3 linked regions of the Stegostoma tigrinum genome follow. The protein of the gene in region 2 purifies or fractionates together with the protein of the main gene of each other region. This does not show direct contact. Links are inferred from orthologs where the notes say so. Each region holds a gene or a part of one and is shown on either strand. Other genes may lie near its edges.

Region 1 (7,391 bases), on a different chromosome or scaffold from region 2:
TTTCAAGAAAATGTTGTACTTCAGTTGTGCAATTTTATTCAAGTAAAGCTATTACTGCAATAAAAGTGCCACTTCAAGGCAAGTACAGAGCAAACTTCAAGCAGCAGCATTGATATGAAACAATTTTTTTCCAGAATTTCACCAGAAATTTCTCTGGGCTCTTTCCTGCCCTGAATAAACTCATATCCAATTCAGAGCAGCTCAAGAGTTATTTAACGCAAGTGAAGAACTATCATGATTTTACTCACCCAATGACATAGAATTAGAGAAGTTCAAAAAGTGGTGCAAATAAACAAGATGCAGTTGATTTTATTTTTAAGCCAAACAATCAAATAAAGAGGCAAAAGCAGCATTTTTATCTATACTTTGATGTTTTAGTTCTGGACAAATGCCCAGATGCCCAAATTAAAATTTGCACTTCAATAACATCTGAAACAAAAGTAAGTGACCAAGACTGCTTCACAACACAATATATTAAATTCCCACACTAAGACAAAGATGGCCAATAGCTTAGCCAAAAAGATATTGACGCTTAAATCCAGAGGACCAAAAGAAAGGCAGAGATACTTACAAAGTTCTAGAGCTGAGCCTTGGCAAGCAAGGATGAAGTTATTACAATCAGAAGACTCAGGAAGCCAGATGTTTGAGTGGTAGGGTTGCAGAGGCAGATTTGAAAGCATGGTTGCAAATAATAGATTGATCAGGAGCCAAACAGCAGGTTAGCAGGGGAAGGATCTACAGGACTTGGTACATGGGCAAAGTTTTGGATTATTTTCAAATTCATAAAGGGTAGAGCATGGAAGACCAACCAGGATTACCCAAGGTAGCATAGGGGTCAAAAAACATGGATAAGGGTTTCAGCAACATTAAGCTGAGATAAAGTGCCCTTGTCTCAGCCACGTTCAAAAACATTCAAGACAACAACATAAAGAAACCTACACGTTTACAATAGTAGCATGTCCTGATTCACTTGTGGTTGATTTGATTCCAGTACATCAAGAAAATTGTTAACAAAATATATTTTGTGGTCTTTAATTAATTTCAGAACCATCTCAATGAACTCCTACATAAAGCAGAGTCCTGAAACCGAACTTCTAAATTGACAGTCATTGCTCATATGCAGGATACTATGCAGCATTGATATGGAACAATTTTTGAGCTTAAGCCATAAAACCATTTGGAAAGGAATAGCAAAGTTTTGAACAAATATATTTACAGCTGAACAACACCTAATTTAAAGGAACAGAAAGGGGATTATTTGCCTATTTACACAAATTTAAAAATTATGATTTTGAAATTCACACTGATGGAACAAACTCAATATCATTGTCAAAGCTAAGAGATTACTTTCATAAATTGCAGCAACAGCAAGCCCCACATAGATGGAAGACCTCTTTTCACACAGGCTAATTATAATAATGGCAAATACCTAACTAGATATAAACAGTTCAACAATTAATAGTAAGTGCTTAAATAAAAGTTTCTTCACGATACCACCAATCCCTTGGATCTCCTTCGCAAGTGTTTGAAATTAAGACAATGTTCTGTGCAAATTATTATAGTGGACATGCTGGATATCTTGAAGGCTAATTTAAAGTTTAATTATTTAATTCCATATTTTCCAGCATTCAAACATTTATGATAAACTACAGATTTGGAATACTTCTTACATCACTGGATACTCAATTTCACATATTTTTGAAAGTACACCCATACACACAACATACTGCAAGCATATTTAAACCCAGCTTGTAAGAAGTACTAGTTCAACCTTACACTTAATGACAAACATATGACTGATCTAGACATTTAATTCAATGCATCTAAAGACACAAAAACGTACTAAAGATTTCTGAAATCAAAGCTATTCGATCCTTAACGTAAATCAAACAAGTTACATCAGGTTATTTTGTCAATGCTACGCTTTCTGCCTGTCTTTTGCGTAAGGGCTCTTTTACCTGGAGTAGTCCCTGGCAAGGCCCAAAGATGCTGTTGATATACTGTAACATTTGTCCTAAAATTAAGTATTTGCGATAATTTAAGGTTTTCAAAGTGTTCGATAATCCCGCTTGTAACTGGACCCCTCATCGACTTTCCCACGTTGCAAAGTCTATACTGCACCTGCCAAATAATGGACCCTTCCAAAAAAAATCACGAATACATATTTTCCTTCAATAGCGGGCGTGGGGTGGGGGAAGACAGCAAATTGTGTAAGCAATGTTTCGCTTTATGAAACCAACCCTGATTGAGAAAGGAGCGGGGCGGGGGGGGTGGTTAAGGAAAGAGATGAAGCATCGAGAAGAATCTGGAAGACATTAACCGTCGAGGACGAGATTACCCTTGAAGTCAAGAAGAAAAACGTGGGGTGGGGAAAAGGGAAAGAAAAGTCTAACGCTGGAGCGGATAAATAGACGAGGCGAGGAAGGGGCCGCTAGCAACACTCCCTGTCTTTCCCGGTTAATACTCATGTGTGCGCGCGCACGCAGGAGAGTGGGATAACTATTTATAAAGATCTTTTTTCTTTTCTTTAAAAAGCTCAGCAACAATGCAACCTCCTCCCGTTTGCGTGACGTACATCAGGGTGGTGGGGGGCTGTTGTTTAAAACGTTGACCATCCAACTCCAAGGGGAGGCAGAGAGACACACGGAGTGAGTGTGTGTGGGTCTCCTCCAACATGGCGGACAGGAAATGGCAGCTGAAGAACATTCCAGTGAGCCGGCATCATCATCATCGCCGCCACCAACACTACCACCATCACCACCATCCACAGGCCGGGGCCTGCGGCCTGCCCGCCCCGACTCACGCCGGCAGAAATAGAGCAAAAGACCGCCAACCGTCTCCCCTCTCCCCCAGCGGCACCGCGCCTCATTCCCTCAGAAAAGAGGCTGTGAGTGAAGGAGGAGGTGGAAGGAAAGACGAGACAGACGGCGACACGGTTACCAAGAAGAGGCGGAGGAGGTGGTGGTGGTGGTGGGAATATTAGATCCGGCACGGCCTTCAGGGGCCTAAAGAGTGTAACTGAAGCCACCAAGGTCACCACGATCCGCGGCTGCAAACCTACACCCCCTCCCACCCCCGCAGCCCCCACCACCATCATCAACCGACATTTTTTTTACGTAACCTCTCCCCGTCAATAACATTTACACCGGTTGATAAGATCTTCGGTTGCGCTCTCACCTGCTTTCTTCTTCTTTTTCTTCGTTTTCTGACCGTCTGAGACATCGCTTACTTTGGTGATTAGGTCGCCGGCGGCCTGCTGCTGTTGGGCGTCTCCATTGGTGAGAGGAGCGGGAGCTGAGGGCTGCTCGCGGCCGCACTTTTCGTCCATTGAACGAGGGGGTGGGTGTGGGGGCGGGGGGGGGGAAGAGAGAGGGAGAGGGAGAGACAGACAGGCAGACGGGGAGGTGGCACTGCGCCTGCGTCCTGCGTTTACCCGACTGGCGGCAGCTGATTCGACACACCCGGGCCTGATCTGCTGCTCCTCCTCCAACTGTTTCTTTCCCCTACTCCTTTCGCTGGTCTCTGCCCCTCACCGCACGCGTCGCGCTCTACTCCGAACGGCACATTCGACACGGACCTGCTTCCTCCACCACCCCCCCACACCTCGCGTGGCGAACACAAGACCCAATTGTCTGATGAGTTGGCGCGAGGGGCTGACGTGACGCGAGGGGCTGAACGGCCTCTTCCTTTTCCACCCCCGTCAGTTGAAGGGTCACTGAACTGGAAACGTTAGCTCGGCCTCCCTCGGCACAGGTCGGTGCTTGACTTTGTTGAGAAATGGATAGAATAGCTCTTTACCGTCGGCGGACAATTTCTAGGGTTTTGTATTTTTTTTGCGCCTCGGCCGACAATTGCTTTTCTCTTTTGTCTTTCCGCGCTTTTTCTCCTTTTTAAAAAAGAAAATAAAACCGCAGACGCTGGAAATCAGTGACAAACTCTCGGCTTCCGAAGCAGGACCACTGCACCCGAAACGTTAACTCTTGATTTCTGTCCACAGGTGCTGCTGTGACCGCAGAGTTTTTCCAACAATTTCTGTTTTTGCCGGCCGTGCTTCCATCATCCAGCCTCCCAAACCGCCTACATCTTCCCCAGCTCGTAAAATCTTCCTTTCAGGGTAACCATAAAAGACGGATTGGTAGATGCAGGCCACTCTGCCCATCCAATCTGCAGGCTTCTCAACCAGATCTTTGATGATCAGATATTCCTCAACTCCAGCAGGGGTCGTTGGAGTGTCCCTATCTCTGGATTAGGTGTCCCGGGTAGGTCCTTGACAATTCACCCTATCCATGCCCCTCATATTTTTATAGACCTTTACAAGGTCACCCCTCAGCTTCTGACCGTCCAGGGAAAAGACTCAACACCCACCTGCTGCTGAGGTGTGTATTAACATTTCTGGGCCAGTTGATCAAAAATGCTCTGATCTTCAGTTTCACTTTTCTCCCCCCACAACCTTTTGTGATTAAACATCAATCTATTTCAACTTTGCATATACTTAAGTGATCCAACCTCTACAGACCTGAATACTAAAGAATTCCATACATTTACCATTCTGAGACAATACATTCCTCCTCCTGTCTTAAAAACCAAAAGAACTGAGGATGCTGTAAATCAGGAACAATAAAGAAGTTTGGTAGCATCTGTGAAGGAAAATACAAGTTAAGGTTTCTGGTCTGGTCAGAACTGAGGAAGGGTCACCAGATCTGAAACGTTGAATCTATCTTTTTCACCTCCTATCTGTCTTAAATGGATAACCACTTTGATGTTGTGTCCTCTGGCTCTGGACTGGAAGACAAAGGAAACAAGTCTGAATGCCTCAATTGAACCCGACACTTGTAATATACACACAAATGATGTCCTGTCATAGGTATAACAAATAAATATATAAAGTTATTCCTTCAGGGCAGCTGGCAATTGAACATAAAGCTATCCAAGAGGTAGGGCCAATACCTACAGCACTACAAGGCCCTGACTTGGAAGTATATCGCTGTTTCTTCACTATCACGCGGTCAAAATCCTGGAATTCCTTCCTTAACATGTTGTGGGTCTATCCACAGCACGTGGACTGCAGTGGAACACGATATGTACAATCATCTCAAGGGCAATTAGTGATGGGCAATAAAGGCTGGCCCAGCCAGTGAAGCCCATATTCCATGAATGAATTGTATATATAAATAACTGTTTAATTTCATTTGAATCATAGAATCTCTAGAGTACAGAAGCAGGCCATTTGGCCCTGCAAGTCCACACCATCTGCCCAAGCGTAACCCTGCATTCCCCATGGCTAATCCGTCTAGCTTGCACATCCCTGGAGACTGTAGGCAATTTAGCGTAGCCAATCCACCTAACCTGCACACCTTTGGACTATGGGAGGAAACTGGAGCATCTGGCAGAAAAATGGGTGAATGTGCAAACTCCACACACACACACTGCCACTCAAGGCTGGAATCACACTAGTTCCTTGGTTCTGTGAGGCAGAAGTGTGAACCATTGTGCTGCTAGACCTGCTTTCTAGTTTCGGTGATCGGCCACTAACATAAATAGATTATATTGCCTTTATTGCCTCATATTTGTTAGAATGATGGAGCAGGCATGCTGAACTGAATGGCCTCCTTCTGTGCTTTGTCACTCAATTTTATGCCCTTGAATTAATTTAATGCCTTTTGGGACCATAGGTTGTTCCTTAGCTTTTTAAAGCAAAGCGACTTGAGATAACTGGTGGTTGTGAATAGTAACAGAATTATACAAATGCAAGTCTCTCTTTTTAAGAATGTTATGATGGTGTAATGTGCTTTATCGTTGTGTAAAAGACTGGAATGATAGAAAGGGCATGAAGGATCAAATGGCCTTCTGTGCCTTATCATCACACAAAAATATAGCACTTTCCAAACAGTAGGACATCCCAAACCTCTTTGCGAGTAATGAATTAATTTTGCAGTTTTTTATTATTCACTCGTGGGATGTGGATGATAGTTGGTGGCCAGCATATATTGTCCATGCCTAGTTGCCTGTGAGAAAGCGGTGGTTAGCTGTCTGTTGAGCCACTGCAGTTCATGTGGTATAGTTAGACAAACAATATAACCAGGGAGGGAGATTCAGGATATTAACCCAATGACATTGAAGGAACAGCAATATATGTACAGCAGGATGGTGAATGGTTAGGAGGGAAACTTGCAGGCAGTGGTGTTCTCATGTATCTGCTGTCCTTATGTTGTATTGCAGACAATGCAGAAACAAATTTAAGCACAGCAAGCTCCTATATACACCTTTGTCATATTAACCAATTATGAATTTTGTCATGTTGACAGAGGTATAAATATTGCTCAATACATCAGTGATAATGCAGTCAGTAATTTTTTAATCCTTTGTTGCCAAATAAATTTGGAGGCTGATGTGATTTTCTTCACACCCTGTTAAGGCAAATTTAGAAATGTTGCACATATGAGGCATCTTTCATATAAAATACCAGTCCAAGGGGATTCATGAGGGAAAAATTAACATAGATAACAGAGACTTGGGTGTCTAGAGCTTGTGTAATGGTATATTTGTAAAGAGGATCCTGTGTGAGGAAAAAGAGTTGGGGAGATTTAGGTATGGTATTGCAGAATTTGGTTACGAATTTAAGGATGAAGACACAGCCATGAACGGTGGATTTAGGAATGGAGGCTAGGCAACAGATCATGATTGCAAGAATGTTCTCAGATTTGACCTGCTAGATGAAGTTAGAGATACTGGCAAGGATGAAGCCAATGAGGGAATAGACCAATAACGTAAAATCAAATGAAAAGGGTAGTTTGATATGTCAAAGGTATAAAACATTTGAGCAGAGTAAGGAAAGATGCACATCACAATCCCAGAGATATTTAGTGAATTTGATTCAGCTGATTGCCATAAGGGGAGTAAGGGGTTTTAGATTAGATTCCCTACAGTGTAGAAACAGGCCCTTCAGCCCACCAAGTCCACACACCCTTGAACACTATGGGCAATTTAGCATGGCCAATCCACCTAGTCTGCACATCTTTGGACTGTGGGAGGAAACCAGAGCACCCGGAGAAAACCCACGCAGACACGGGGAGAATGTGCAAACTCTGCACAGACAGTGACCCGAGGCTGGAATCGAACCCAGGTCCCTGGTGCTGTGAGGCTGCAGTGCTAACCACTGAGCCGTCACCATGCCACCCCATTAGGGATTATGGGAAAAAGGCAACAGAATGGGGCTTAGAATCATATCAGCCATGGTTGAATGGCAGAGCAGACTTGATGGCCGAATGGTCTGATTCTACCCTTGTATGTTGTGGTCTTACAGAATAGGTAGACACATCTCTGAAGAGTTTAAGCTAACATGGAGTTTTGGAAGAGATAAATGTGAATTTGTCTTTGACATCTTCCAGGAC
Region 2 (8,489 bases):
AAAATTACTCAGAAGAGACATCTTCAAATTTATCCACTGGTAAAGGAGGTCTGCAATAGTCAAAGGTCTTACCTATGATCCACTTTCCTTTTAAACAGTCCATTTCAGTTGAGGCTGTGAAAGGAGTTGCATTATTTCAATCTTCCTTGTCACATTGAAATGTACGCATTGTTCAAAACTGTTTCAGAGATAGTAGGAACTGCAGATGCTGGAGAATCTGAGACAACAAGATGTAGAGCTGGATGAACACAGCAGGCCAAGCAGCAGAGGAGCAGGAAGGCTGACGGTTCGGTCCCAGACCCTTGGGTCTAGGCCCGAAACGTCAGCCTTCCTGCTCCTCTGATGCTCCTTGGCCTGCTGTGTTCATCCAGCTCTACACCTTGTTGTCTCACTGTTCAAAACTGACCGGAATGGACATCTAAAAACTTTCTAACTCTAGTTTATTCAGTACGTCAAGTGTTAGACTCCTATTCCTTCAATACAGGATATCTGGTCAGCGTGGATGAGCTGGACCATACTGTAAACTCTAAGACTCTTTGAATACATATTTCTGCTTTGTTGGTATGCTGGTTGCAAATACATTTCAATTGTCAATTTTAGCCTGAACATTGCAGTCTGGCAATTTGGTATCTTTCTCCTTATGAATTAATTCCACTTTCCTACTCAAATCTTCCATTTCAATTTCTGCTACAACACTAAGTCTTAACCATCAACTACAAAAAAAGTCTCCTTTTTACCCTACCATGTCCTTTTGTTCTAAAGCATTTGGGTGTAATTAGAGATCCCCCGTGGCAAGAGTTAGACTTCTTTGCTGGAACTCCTAACATGCTGCTTCATTCTACAGTCACCGAATTTCTCCTCTCATTCAAGGTATCATATTGGTAAGTGTCTCTGGGCCCTCTCCCTGGCCTTGAAAATTATCTCAAAACGAGGGCACCAAATTTGTCACAATTGTTTAAGTAAGATTTAACCAATTATTTTGAGAGGTTTAGCATTACCTCTCCATTTTGGTATGCAGGGTTTCCATTTATAGAAATCCTTCTAAAATACCTTTTCCATTTGCCCCTAATGCCAAGAATTCCATTGCTGCAAATGCAAACTGCATCCATTCTTTTCAACAAGATCTAGCATCCTACATGTCATGCGATGAAGACAAGTGCTGCAGATATTTTCTAATCAATTCACCAGAAATGCTGTAACGTACATTTGGAGCAGGTGGCACTTGAACCTAGGCCTACTGACTTTGGTTTGAATAGTTCAAAGTTATTCAAGAAAATGTTGAGAATTACAACTCATTTATATAGATTATTGCCATTGGGAGATACAGGCACAATGCCACTAGACAAATAATAGAGGCAAAAATGGATAGCAAGTGTGAAGCTGAATGAACACAGCAGGCCAAGCAGCATCTCAGAAGCACAAAAGCTGATGTTTCAGGCCTAGACCCTTCATCAGAGGACAAAAAATGGAAGTTGCCAAAAGAAGCTTAGGTCCTGCAGCATACGTGGGGAGAAATCAGTTAACATTTTGGATCAAGTAACCCTTCTTCAGAACACCTCAGCACCCGCAGTTCTTTCAGTTTTAATTATATAATACAAAGGCTCAGCCAATGATCTGGGGCATAGATCAAATCCACCACAGCAGCTGCTGGCATATAAATTCAATTAATAATTCTGTAGTTGAAAGCTGATGATCATACACAGCCTTTTAATGTCCTTTAAAGGAAGGAAGGAAACACTCCGCCTCCTGCACTGCCACAACGATGCCACCCGAAGATTGCAGGAACAGCAACTCATATTCCGCCTGGGAACCCTGCAGCCATATGGTATCAATGTGGACTTCACCAGTTTCAAAATCTCCCCTTCCCCTACTGCATCCCTAAACCAGCCCAGTTCATCCCCTCCCCCCACTGCACCACACAACCAGCCCAGCTCTTCCCCCCCACCCACTGCATCCCAAAACCAGTCCAACCTGTCTCTGCCTCCCTAACCGGTTCTTCCTCTCACCCATCCCTTCCTCCCACCCCAAGCCACACCCCCAGGTACCTACTAACCTCATCCCACCTCCTTGACCTGTCCGTCTTCCCTGGACTGACCTATCCCCTTCCTACCTCCCCACCTATACTCTCTCCACCTATCTTCTTTACTTTCCATCTTCGGTCCGCCTCCCCCTCTCTCCCTATTTATTCCAGTTTCCTCTCCCCATCCCCCTCTCTGATGAAGGGTCTAGGCCCAAAACGTCAGCTTTTGTGCTCTTGAGATGCTGCTTGGCCTGCTGTGTTCATCCAGCCTCACATTTTATTATCTTGGAATTCTCCAGCATCTGCAGTTCCCATTATCTCTAACACTCCATCCCTACCTGGTCTGACCTATATGTGAGTCAACCCTTAGCAATGTCGACTCTTAATTGCCTTCTGGTCAATCACTCAGCTCAAGGACTCTGTCCGTCACATGACAGTGCCCACCCCTCTGCAATGGTGAATCAGGTTTTTCAATGTTGGCAAACGACGGGTTAGTCAATACATATGCAAATTACAGGAGGGTGAAATAAAACGGGAGTGGGGGTGGGGAGTGAAACAAGAAAAACAGGCAGGCCTTTGCTGCAATGAAACACGTGTCAGCAGAGCGGAAAAGGGCAGAAGCTTTTTACCCACAGTCAGGCCGCAGCGCTAGGGCCAGCTCAGCAAGCTATTTATAACGGGCGCAGGGTCAACTTGACTGCCCCGTGTGAGGGGGGAGGGGGCCGAAAGGGGGAAAAGCCACCCGCTGGTTAACACCTAACAGTGAGGCCCGGTCCGGCAGAGAAACCTCCAGAAGGTGGACACGGGGGAGGAGGAGGAGGAGGGGAAAGCCCTGGGGCCACACCAAGCGCCTACCCCAGATCCTCCAGCGAGTCAAGGATGTCATTCTCCATGGCGCAGCCCAGGCTGAAGTGCGTGGCAGCGGCGAGCGGCCTCTCCTCACGGCCCACACCGAGCGACCGTCCCTCCCCGTCAGTGCTGCCGCTCCGCGGCTTCTGCCCGGTTGGCATGTCTGGGGCCTCATTCTACACGCGGGCAGCCCCGTGCCTGACGGCCGGCTCCACACAAAACAAAACCTCCACCTCGCAAACAACAATGACAATGAAACAGTTCTTTTGTCGATCGAAACCTGTCCGTGAAATTAATAAAAACAAATAGCGCTGAATAATACACTTAATCTTCATTCAGGCGGATGATTAGTCACGAAAGCCCCTGACACAATTTCTGCTGTTGCCATGGCGATTGTTCAAACTTTCTTTCTGAGGGTATGTTCTAACGGTCTTATTTAACATTTTTAGTCCATCCCCGTTTGTCATGTTAAGATATTCAACCGGATTTGTTTTGTTTTTAAACTATGATTGTCTTGAAAATGAACCTATTTATAATTCACACACACACACGCATAAATATGTCTCTTTTCTGTCTCTGATTTTTGGTCCTGTTGGCTGCTTTTTGTGCCAGTTTGAAAACCATTCCCATGAACCCAGCCAAAACATGAGGGTTTGCACAGAATGTTAAGTTGCAGATTTGAGAGCTTACAATTCCTATATCATCTCTTCCCATTTAAGTTAACAGCGCAGAAATTGGCCATTTCTGGCCAATTGTCAAATATCCATGTCAGTGTTGACGTACCAGACCATGGGCGTCCTCCTTCCCCTCTTCATCTCGCCCTATCAACATAACCTTCCAAAAGCAAAATGCAGTGGATGCTGGAATCTGAAACAGGCACAGAGAATTCTGGAGAAACTCAGCAGGTCCAGCAGCATCTGAAAAAATTCAGAACTTGGAATGAGAGTGTTGTCTTGTGAGGCAAGATTGGATTGGGGTTATGAAGAGAATGTTTTATCCTATGACAGAGATTGTCCATTTAAAACTGAAATGGGTTTTTTTTGCCTTAGTGAGTTGTGGGTCTTTGGAATTCTCTTCCTGAAGAAGGAGTGGAAGCAGAATCCTTGAATGTTTTAAGACAGATGTAAGTAAGGTGTGAAAAATTATTGGGGTAGGTGGGAATGCAAATTTGGGTATACAATCAGATGAGCCAAGATCTTATCAAATATTTGACCAGACTTAAGGGTTTGAATGCCTTGCTCCTGCTCCTAATTCTGTAAAGACAGTGTCTTTTTTATTTTCCTGTATTGAAATGAGAAAATAATTGTTTTAAAACCAAGGATTGCTGAAGCATTTCTACACGTTTTTGGAAGCGGTAACCCAACACTCATTTTAGACATGATTTACACAGCTGTTGCTTCAATTATAGTTTACTGACGAGCTTAAGCCAGATGGTTGTACACAAATAGCGCTTCAGTGGGCAACAAGTAGCTAATTTGTCTATGGAGTTCTGACCAGATATTGAAACATAATTCTTAAGGGGCTTGATGGGGTAATGCTGAGAGGATGTTTCCTTCATGGTAGAGTCTAGAATCATATGACATCATCTCAGAAAAGGGGGACCAAATTAAGACTGAGATGAGGAAGCATTTCTTCTTTCAGAGACTTTCCACAGAGAGATGTGTGAGCAGAGTTCTTAATTACATTTAAGACTGAGATAGATTCTTGATTGGTAGAGAAGTCAAGGGCTACAGGAAAAAAGCAGGAAAGTGAACTTAGAGTCATACAGATATACAGCATGGAAACAGACCCTTTGGTCTAACTTATCCATGCTGACCAGATATCCTAATTAAATATTTCCCATTTGCCATCATTTGGCCCATACTTAAACCCTTCCTATTCATATACCCATGCAGATACCTTTTAAATGTTGTAATTGTACCAGCTTCCACCACTTCCTCTGGCAGCTCATTCCATACACACAGAACCCTCTGCATGAAAAAGTTGCCCCTTAGATCACTTTTAAATCTTTCCCCTCTCACCTTAAATCTGTACCCTCCAGTTTTGGACTCCCCCATCCCAAGGAAAAGATCTTGTTTATTTACCCTATCCGTGCTCCTTATGATTTTATAAACATCTATGAGGTCACCTCTCAGCCTCCAATGTTCAAGGGAAAAAAGCCCCAGCCTATTCAATCTCTCTTTATAGCTCAAACTCTCCAACCCTTGCAACATCCTTATAAATCTTTTCTGAACCCTTTCCAGTTTCACAACATCCTTTGTGTAGCAGGGAGACCAGAATTGCACGGAGTATTCCAAAAGTAGCCTAACCAATGTCCTGTAGGGCCACAACATGACCTCCCTACTCCTATATTCAATGCGTTGACCAATAAAGGTAAGCATACCAAATGCCTTCTTCACTATTCTGTCTGCCTGGGACTCCACTTTCAAGAAAATATGAACCTGCTCTCCAAGGTCTCTTTGTTCAGCAACAATCCCCAGCATCTTATCATTAAGTGTATTCATCCTGCCCTTGAGGAATGCCAGACGACCCATGATTGCATTGAATGGCAAAGCAGAGCTCGAAGGGCTGAATGGCCTACTTCTGTTCCTATTCTGTATGGTCTTATGCAGACAAAGGCCTTCAGCCTGCCAACAGCTATGTGATTAGTTCTTAGATAGCTGAACAGTTTGGGCTTGTGAATAAGATACAGAGAAGTCGTTAGATATCCACCACCAGGAGCTGTCTCAACAACACCCACTTTAAGTCTGAAGTAAACCAGTTTATTTTTCCTTCAGCAGTTGCTAATGACTCAGCCAGAGAACTGCTATGAGTATGATAATGAAATGTGAGGCTGGATGAACACAGCAGGCCCAGCAGCATCTCAGGAGCACAAAAGCTGACGTTTCGGGCCTAGACCCTTCATCAGACGAAGGGTCTAGGCCCGAAACGTCAGCTTTTGTGCTCCTGAGATGCTGCTGGGCCTGCTGTGTCCATCCAGCCTCACATTTCATTATCTTGGATTCTCCAGCATCCGCAGTTCCCATTATCACTGCTATGTGTGTGAACCAGTCACCTTGTAGCTCCTGCAAATCAGTGAAAGCATTTAGAGGAAGAAGACTGAGAAACAGTATTCTGATCACCACAAGAATCATCTCAGCAGCCTTGTGAATGGGAATTTTTGAATTGCCTTTTCAGTCTGACTGTGTGTGTGTGTGTGTGTGTGTGTGTGTGTGTGTGTGTGGTGTGTGTGTGTATGTGTGTGTGTGTCTGTGTATTTTATAAGGGGGAATTAAATTCTTAACTAGTTGAGATGCTACTGGATGTTTCACAGTTGTTTATCTGTATTTGTAATAAATACTAATGCTTATGAGTACAGAAACTCGTTCTATGTTTTCTGTTAACCAGGATATGAAAGACAGGTAAATTGGGCAATCCTGGGTGCTTATAAAAATCTTTAGTCTTTATGATGACTCCAGGAATAGCAAGACTTGATTTCCAGTGTGTTACCTAAGTGAGGCATAACAGTTTGTATATTTGTATGTATGTTTACTACTGGCTCTTCTTTTATTCGTTCGTTGGATATGGGCGACGCTGGGTGAACCAGCATTTATTGCCTATTGCTAATTGCCACTTGAACTGACTGGTTTGATATACCTTTCAGAGGGCAGTTATGAGTCAACCACATTGCCTGGAGTCACTTGTAGGCCAGACCAGGTAATGATGGCAGATTTTGTTGCATAAAGTTCAATAGTGAACCAGCTGGGTTGTTACTACAATCATTACCTGGTGGCCATTAGGCTAGCTTTTAATTCCAAATTTTCATTGATTCTGACTTCATTAGCTGCCATATTAATGCTCTAGGTCTCTGGAGTATCAATCAAGTGATAATCCCACAAAGCATCACCTCCCCAGAAACATTGTGAATTATATATCCATCACAGCTGTAGAGAGACGTTGGTACATACCGATCATAAACCCCTATCCTTTGTGGAATAATACAGTATATCAGACTATGTCAATGGAATTTTCTACCAAGCCTTGTTATTTAAACATTGTTCACATTGCAGGTAAAACAGTGTAACTGTTGATCCTTTGTCAAGAATTTTTGGATTGTCTAAGAGCTAAGAATGTACCAGAGATAATTCTATAAGTTACTTGGAAAGATTGAATGGGAATCAGTGTAAATGTGACTTAATTTTTAAAAATATTTTTGTTTAATTCACGCTGTACTGTAAAATGTATTTTAAAACAGCATTTTATTTTTTCCAAGGGCAGGGGGCTATGGTGATGCTTTATATTTATTATTTCTTGGAGGGATTAGGTTTTGAAGGAAATGTGCAACAAAAGAATGATTAAAATTTTTGTGGAAATAACTGGAATGATTCGTTAAAAATGATTGTTGAAAGATCACTGTGAACATTAGAGATTTTTTTAACATGGCGCCCTAGGAATCACATGATTAATGATAACTGCTTACTTTGCTGTAGACCCTGCTGGGTCTGGTTTGAACACTGACTGGATGGAGAGTACTTTGGTATCTGGAATTAGTTGAGGACAAAAAAAGTACCAGGAAGTACTGTAGAGTTGATCTCTCCCATTTCTGAAAGGGTCTGCTTGAATTCAGGCTGAAATCGAATTGTTCTTCTGAAAATGTTTGGAGCAACTTCTCAGTCATGCATTTCTTGAGCAAGCTCTGAAAGAAAGACCAGAGTCAGCCTTGCATGATTAATTATTTGAACACGTGCTAGAATATCTGGGCAACTGGCTTTAGAACATTCCACGCTTAATCATTTTGCCTTCGAGAATAGCACATCGACAAAAGTATTTGTTTGTTTTCAGAAAATCAGTCTCTGGAAAGAAATTAATTTTATTCACTCTTTTCCTGAGGAGTGTGTGTTTTTGGCTGATATTTAGAGGGATAAGTGTTTGTACTTCAATATTAATGATTGTTTACACTAAACACTTGTTTGCATCTTCACAGAATAAATTTTGTTTTGATTATAAAATAATTATTATGTTTGTTAAGAAACCTCATTTTGATCTTACTGTTTAAAACCAGTTATAGATTTGGTCATCTTGGTGACCAGAAAAGATTTTCATTTTATATTGTGATCCATGGTGTGGTGGGACGAGAATGACAATATAATTCTCAACCTTGATCATTACAACAGACAAAGTTTACATTTGTAGGATGAAATTTACTGTTGCTTTATATTACCTCAGCAGTTTGATATGGTATTTGATGGAGACAACTAGCTTCAGAAAACCCATCAAATACCAATGGCCTATGGCCCAGGCAGATGTGTTTGTTTTCACTTGAGGAGACCACCTTCTCAGAAATAAACATGGGCAACCAACTAAGATAACAAAGTGTGAAGCTGGATGAACACAGCAGGCCAAGCAGCAGGCCATCTCAGGAGCACAAAAGCTGACGCTTCGGGCCTAGACCCTTCATCAGAGAGGAGGATGGGGTGAGGGTTCTGGAATAAATAGGGAGAGAGGGGGAGGCGGACCAAAGATGGAGAGAAAAGAAGATAGGTGGAGAGGATAGTATAGGTGGGGAGGTAGGGAGGGGATAGGTCAGTCCAGGGAGGACGGACAGGTCAAGGAGGTGGGATGAGGTTAGTAGGTAGGAGAT
Region 3 (7,818 bases), on a different chromosome or scaffold from region 2:
CCAGATTCATAAAAAAGGCCTTGTTGTTCATTTACTATCGAATAAATAGCAAATAAATGTAGAATCTGTTATGCTTCAATCAGGGATTCTGTGAAACTAGAGTGAACAAACAGCCACACCTCATCCAAACATAAATCCACAAGGACAGTATACCAAAGTGGATTATCATACATTTTGGCTCAAATTAAACAAGTAGGTTTTAAGACATTTTCTTGCCGTGATTGAAAAGACCAACATGAGAATGACTTTCACAGTCATTTCCAATCTCGAATGAGCAGTTGTAAGGTAACGGAGTTAGGACAAACAGAGAAAGGGTTTTGAGGATGCAAGAGAAAAAGATCTGTCCTGGAAATTAGCAAGATACTATTTTTCACCTTGTTACATTGTGTCAGAGAAACCAAATTGAAAAACTAACTGATAGCCTTTATTCAATGGTAAGTTACAGACTTCTCAGCCAGGAAATAACAAATTCAAGGTAAACTCCAGACTTCTGGCCCCATAGAAGGCTGACCTAAATAAAGTGTGCACTGAATTATTGGAATTTAAAAAACCCAGCTGTTCTCCATACAAGACGATAGGCAGGGAAGTTCTTCAGTGTCCTGCCCAATACATATGCTTCATAATTTATCTTGTTTCTTTGGCAGTGAACAAATTGGTTGTCACATTTTGTTACATTACAGTAGCTACAATTTAAAGAAAGAGTATTTCATTAGGTCTGTAATGTTTTAGGCATTCTGACGTTGTGAAAAGCAGGAAAAAAATCTAAGTTTTTACCTCACTCACTTTCTCCTGGCTGCAAGCAAATGCCTAAACATATAAGTGAATAAGCGCTGATTTGCCAAGTACATATGATTTTTCAAACAGTAGTTTGAGTTGAAAAGCTCCAAAAGGCTTGATATGGGGATTAGGGGCTTTTAAACCTACGATATCTCATGTGGTCCAAGGAGATGTTGAAAGATCAAGCAAATCACACAGGAGATGGGCAGATTGAAGATGAATTGTGAACTGGTGTCAAATCAGGCAACTATTCATTTTAACATATAAAAGGAAAATTACTATAAAAGCTTTGAGTTATTTCCGACTCCACCTTGGTTACATGTCCGATGATTTAAATTTTAAAATTATCTGTCTTGTGAAAACAGAGCCAAAAATCTTCCAAGACAATTATTTGAAGCAAAGCTATTTGTATTACGTCCTTAAAAGTGAGAAAGTGTTTTTTCCCCAATGGAAGAGAAATATTTGAGGAAAGGCTTAAGAAACAACAGTTCCTCTTGTTTTGGCATGTATAATTAAACTCATTCACATTGACACGATCATAAAATCCTTACACTAAGAGAGGTTATTCAGCCCATCAAGTCCACAACGAGCATTCAAAAAGCATCTGACACAGACCTACTCACCCCGATCCCTGTAACCCTGTATTTCCCATGGCTAATCCACCTAACCTGCACATCTTTGAACAAAAGCAATGAAATCAATACAATGCCAAACACAAATTTCAAAAATAAACAAGTCAAACCGATCAGTACAAACTAAACACAAATCTAACAAAATATCTGCCACTGTTGGGAAGAGGAAAGCTCATCATTCCAGAGAGGATAAGTATATAATTATAGTTGTAAGGAACAAAATACTTGGAACTTTCATAATTAACTTCAAAATACTATATAATTATTATGAGTCAAAAACACTGGTATCATTAATGGAGTAAAGGGTTAAATCATTTAGTAATAAGGAGATAAAAACCAATGTAAATATGATTCAAATGCCAGTCATCAACTCTGTTGCAACACATGGGCTGAAGCATACACAAACTTAGTTTTTCAGAGTACCACTGAAGTACATCTTCAGCTCAATTTTAACTATTAGAGGATAAATATATTTAATTTCATAATATTCTGTAAAATGTTCGCATTGTATGTACAGCACTGTCACAAAACGTACAGCACAAATTCATTGCAAGGAACAAATTTTTGTAGAAAGCTTAATATTCCTCACGCACAGTCAATCTCACTAAAACAGTACGGTTATTTAAATCGTCATGTAACATACAAGACATTGTTCTTTTGAATACAATTGTTCTGATTTTAATGTCACATCATAACTCTGCATTATTGACGAATTACAAGTAACTTTGAAATTCTCAGTATGATCTTAATTTAAGATTATTGTAATAATTGTTCTGCATTTCGATATGTTCGTGTCTAACGAATATTCATTGACAATGGTTTAAACCTTGAACAAGTTCCGTTTCATAAAGATACTTTTGTTGAGATTGAAGAAAATGTAAAGGTCTAAGAAACTTTGAACACTGACGCTGTATCGCACCTAACGGATTTCCCTAAAGGAATGTATCCTCTTTAAGCATTGGTTAATCTACATCTGCTTAATGGCTGTATTTTAAAAGCCGCCCGAATACAGATGTCTATGGTTTCTGGCGTGTAGGCCGCATCCTCATAGCGGCATTAACCCGCTGGAAGATGAGGCCTGAGCGCAAGGCCTGGACACTACCGTTTCGTTTCTCGGTAACGCGGGGCCCGGCATATTGAAGGGGAAAGGCGGGCCCATCAGTGACAGAAGGCCGCCTCCAGAGCCTCGGGCTAAAGTTGGACCAATAGAGAAAGAGGGGGGGGACAGAGAGGGGAAAGAGGGGGGGGGACAGAGAGGGGAAAGAGGGGGGGACACAGAGAGGGGAAAGAGGGGGGGGGACACAGAGAGGGGAAAGAGGGGGGGGGACACAGAGAGGGGAAAGAGGGGGGGGGACACAGAGAGGGGAAAGAGGGGGGGGGACACAGAGAGGGGAAAGAGGGGGGGGGACACAGAGAGGGGAAAGAGGGGGGGGGACACAGAGCCTGTTCATTACCTGCCGCCTGACTGTCTCCCTCCTCCGCCAACTCCAGCTGCTGCTCCACCAGTCCCGATGCCGCCGCTGGGCTTTCGGCTGTTGGGCTGCTTCATGGACATGATGGTGGGCGATGATGGTGATGGGGGAGGGCAAGGGGTGGGAGAGAGATGCCGCTTCCAGTCACTTCAAACCCTTGAACAGAAAAGGTCCGGCCCAGCATCCACAACACCAGTGAAACCCTCCCCCCCTCCCCTTCTCCCCACCCCCGCCGAGGAATACGAAAACGTCGTCAGGGACAAGAGTACGGATGCGGCCTCCGTATCGCCTGTCCAGGCCTCAAAGTCAGTTAGCGCCGCAACGCCCGTTGCTATCGCAAAGCTTCGGCCGCCACCAACAACACGGTGAACGGACGAGAATGGGGGGGGGGGGGAGGGGAGGGGCAGAGAGGGGTCGGGGTGGCGGAGGGGGGGGGAGGTTTGAGGGGAGGGGCAGACAAACAGGATTCGGGCACGCCGGCGTGTGCGCGCGCACCCACCGACCGGCGCATTCGCACCTTCCCCTACCCCCAAACCACACCGGCAATGCGGTCGATCACCCCTCCCCCACCCACAAAGTAAGTTGGCTCTGCATCATCGGACTCGACGCTGCTGAAAGAACGGCCAGGAGATGGACGGGAACGAGTGGTTTTACGACGGGACTTCCCCCCCCTCCCCCTTTATTGTTACTGTGTTTGGCTTTGCCCTCATTCCCCCCACTGCTCTCCGGTCCTGTTCTTTCGGACTTCTGACCTCGTCGACGAGCGCGGAGGTTTATTTTGCGGGTGAGGGACAAGCTCTCAGATGGCCGGAGTAGTGATCACTATCTCAGCTTGGTTGAATTGAGTTCATTTTTACTTGTGATGTTGATCTTTGGACATTGCACCCTGCTCAGCTCTTTCTTAGGAAAGGTCAACATTTCCTCCTAGTCTCACTGAGAACACACCCAACTTGTATTTACATAGCACCTTTCATAATAGGACATCGCAAAGCATGAAATGTTATGCTATCGAATAAATGGCAGCCATCTAAGCACAGCAAATTGTTGCAAACAAAATAACTAAATTATGTAACAAGGTGTGGAGCTGGATCCCCACAGCAGGCCAAACGGCATCAGGAGCGGGAAAGTTAACGTTTCGGGCCTGTTATCTCTCAACTAAATTAATATGTATATATTATGATGAGGGTGAAATAGTTGCTAGACTAACCAGAATAACACATGCTTTGCTTCAAAATAGCACCGTGAGATATTTTACAATTACCCTGAAAAGGCACATGGAGCCTTCGTTTCTTGTATCTGAAAGGTAGCATATTTGACAATGTAGGATTCTTTCTGCACTGCTGCAGTGTCAGGTTTTTCTGTGTGGAGCTCTGCAGTGAGAAAAGAAGACAAAACCTCTTGGCTCAAAGGCAAGAGTGCTACGACTGAAGGTAAATAGGCAAATTGTAATTGTAAACAGACATGGATAAATTGGTACAAGGAAAGTAGGTAATTGTTCGGACCAACATTTATACATCAACAAAGGGAAAAGCTCATATCTACTATTAGTTTTGTGCATCACACCTCTACTTTGCAAGTGTACCTCGTATTCCAAGATGACAGTCGCATTGAAGCCTGTTCTTCACACCTTAGTTATAATCATGCTAATTTGATGCATTAGAAAGATTTGAGAACTTACAATGAATTTACAGCCTATTCAAATTAGTCTATTGTCGGGACACGGTTGATATCAAAAGGTTGTATTTATTGGGCGTGTTCCATTCAACTGCATGGCGGGCAAAACTAATCCAGGAGAATATATAATCCGCCATGAAATTTATACACGTATAGGTCAAGTAAAGCAGATAATCATTCTCATAAAATGTCATTTATCTGAACCATAAATCTTTTTCTCTCTCTGCAGATTCTGTATGACCTCCTGAGTATTTGTATAATTTTCTGGTTTTTTTCCAGATTTGATTTTAGTTTTGGAATGGTTGATTGATATTGGTCTAAAATAGTTAATGAGCCATCAGTTAGGTCGTTATTAGAAGTTAGCAACTTCCATAGCTTTTTTTTTACTGCTAAACATAAGTTTTAAGTGATTGAATTTAGTTTATGATAGAGGGTTACAAGACAAGAGCAATCAGTTTGATCCAGGACCAGCCACGTAATTAAGTTTTTTTAACAAATTATTTTAATAACCATGTTGTTACTTCAAAGTGCCGATTACAAATGCTTAAAATGTTTGTACAAAACTGTTAAAAACAGATTTACAGAAAATAAATAAATGTATTCATAATATTGTTGCAGGAAATGTGTACATGTCCTTGCTCTCTTCTCAGGTTCTCCTCTGACCTCGTTTCCTCTTAAAGTGATGACTATCACTCGCCCCAATTTAGAATATTTAATTCATTGTTTCAAGTTTTCAATTACTTGAACTGTATACTCTCCATTTTTGATCTTCCCTTCCTGGACTGCTTGCTACCTCCAGAAATGAAAGCCCACTAAATCCGTAAGACCATAAGACATAGGAGTGGAAGTAAGGCCATTCAGCCCATCAAGTCCACTCCGCCATTTAAATCATGGCTGATGGGCATTTCAACTCCACTTCCCTGCACTCTCCCCCTGTAGCCCTTGATTCCTTCTGAGATCAAGAATTTGTCGATCTCTGCCTTGAAGGCATCCAACGTCCCGGCCTCCACTGCACTCCCTGGCAATGAATTCCACAAGCCCACCACTCTCTGGCTGAAGAAATGTCGTCTCATTTCAGTTTTAAATTTACCCCCTCTAATTTTAAGGCTGTGCCCACGGGTCCTAGTCTCCCCGCCTAACGGAAATAACTTCCTAGCGTCCACCCCTTCTAAACCATACTAATAATAAATCCTACTTCTGTCCAGATCACCCTTCTGCTCATTTCGCAACTCTACTTCCCCTTCAAAGTTTTACCAAAAATCTGTAGCTCAGGTTGTGGGGGAGGTCATTGACTTGCTTGCCAAGCTGGCTTGTTCTCATTCAGATGTTTCATCACCATGCTAGGTGACATCATCAATGGAGTCACCGATGAAGCTTCATTGGAGGCTCCACTGACAATGTCACCTAACATGTTGATGAAACGTCTAAACAAGAACAAGCCAGCTCAGCCAGCAAGTCAAAAATCTCTATTTCCCCTTCGCCTGTTTCTCTGTCCCACTTACTCCAGTTAATTTACAGATGATTCAGAAATAAAATCCCATTTGAGGATTCTCAACCCCTTCAACCATGGTAGTCAGGATCCTCAACCAAGTCTTTTCTATTCCGTTTGTGTCCCCAGTCCCATCCCACTGATGGGAACTTTTAAGCTTAATCTTCAACTGTGCCAATTCCTGCTTTCAATGGGCGACCTTAATCTGCCCGTCTTGCAGTAATCTCTCATGTAACATATCTTGTCTTCCTTTCCTTTTTCTGAATGGATCATTACTCAATGACACAGCTTTATTCTTTAACATTCCTATCACCTACAATTCTTCTCTAGTACTTTTCATTCTCACACCACCAAAAGATATGAGCTGAAGTAGGCCATTTAGCCTATCAGGTTGTTTCCACAATTCACCCATCAAGACTGCTCTACCATTCAATGAGATTACAGCTCCAAATACTCCTTTTAGTTTATGTATACCTTGTCCAACCTAGAATGGTACACAGATTAAGGGATACCTCCATATTGTATGCATTTGCAAATCTCATATGCTTGCCAATTCAGTATCTTTCTTCCACCCTGCCCTATCTGCTTCAGTTGAATAGGCTAACATAAATTCAAGAAACAGTCTGTAATATTGACTTTAATAATTTCTAACCTTAAGCTCCCATTTATTCAGCAGGAACTGCCAACAACGTGGGATGAGTATACCAACAATTTAGGGGACTGGGGAAAAAATGTGGTTTGTATTTGAGACTAGAAACCTCTAATGGAACGCATTTCTAGCTTGAAGCCTACAAAGTTCTGTGTTTCCATTTTTATTTGCCTCAGCTGCCACTCAATCACACAATCTATAATAGAAAGAGAGTACGAGAAATACTCAGCTCTTTCAGCATCTGTGAAGATGTTTTCTTAACAAAGTTATTTGACATATTTGTATTAATGCCTAATTGTTTTAAAACTTCGATTATTGTTTACCATCCATATTCTGGAAGCATAAAAATTTTTATAGTTGCAGTGGGGAATTCATAATTCCACAGCAAGCCAAATAAGCATAACTAATTTGATTTGTTGGAATTAAGTAATTTGCTCGTGATACTAGTTTGAGGACATGAATTATTTATGTTAGTTCAGAATTTTGTTTCATACAGTTGAACTTGATCAAAGAATTACATCAATGCATTAAAAATGAGATCCTTCTTATCAAATTGAAATAAATCATTACCAGTAGTTCTATCCAAAAATCATATATGGAACCACTTTTTATTAAGCCTGAAATAAAATGCAAGCATATTTAACACTAACAGCTTGCATTTCCATAGTCTTTAGCACAATAAGGCATCTCAAAGTGTTTCTCAAGTAATACTAAATAAAACCAGACACTAAACTGCAGAGAGATATTAGGGCAAATGATGAAGCTTGGGCAAAAAGGTATTTTTAAAAGTCATCCCATATGAGAGCTAGCAAGGCTGACAGTTTAGAGAAGAAATTCCAGAACTTGGGTCTAGACAGTTGAATGCAAGGCAGATAATTGTGAAATGATCCAAATTAATGATGCACACAGACAGAACTGGAGATGCGCACTCGTGAAGTTTGATAGGCCAGAAGAGATTACAGGGATGAGGGGCAAGCTACAGAGCTATTTGAAAACAAGATGTGAATTTTAAATAGGCCTTGCTAGACCAAGAGACAAGTCAATACACAAGGTGATAGGTCAAGAGGACTTGTTAGGAGTAAGTTTACAAACAGCAGGATTTTGGTTAAGATCCCATTTACGGTC

The links.
Region 1: the proteins of fam98a (region 2) and nufip2 purify together in Homo sapiens (co-immunoprecipitation; 3 studies listed by BioGRID and IntAct, with this or other methods). This does not show direct contact. The link is inferred for Stegostoma tigrinum from reciprocal best matches to the Homo sapiens genes FAM98A and NUFIP2.
Region 3: the proteins of fam98a (region 2) and atxn2 purify together in Homo sapiens (co-immunoprecipitation; 3 studies listed by BioGRID and IntAct, counting the BioPlex papers as one, with this or other methods). This does not show direct contact. The link is inferred for Stegostoma tigrinum from reciprocal best matches to the Homo sapiens genes FAM98A and ATXN2.

Annotation. Positions count from the first base shown.
Region 1 is NC_081380.1:31,902,428-31,909,818, forward strand, and holds the start of nufip2 (FMR1-interacting protein NUFIP2), read right to left. Parts: upstream 3,368-7,391; 5' UTR 3,329-3,367; coding exon 3,178-3,328; intron 1-3,177. UniProt on the Homo sapiens protein: Binds RNA.
Region 2 is NC_081362.1:81,689,503-81,697,991, forward strand, and holds the start of fam98a (protein FAM98A), read right to left. Parts: upstream 3,046-8,489; 5' UTR 3,031-3,045; coding exon 2,876-3,030; intron 1-2,875. UniProt on the Homo sapiens protein: Positively stimulates PRMT1-induced protein arginine methylation. Involved in skeletal homeostasis. Positively regulates lysosome peripheral distribution and ruffled border formation in osteoclasts.
Region 3 is NC_081379.1:23,200,144-23,207,961, reverse strand, and holds the start of atxn2 (ataxin-2), read right to left. Parts: upstream 3,258-7,818; 5' UTR 2,965-3,257; coding exon 2,864-2,964; intron 1-2,863. UniProt on the Homo sapiens protein: Involved in EGFR trafficking, acting as negative regulator of endocytic EGFR internalization at the plasma membrane.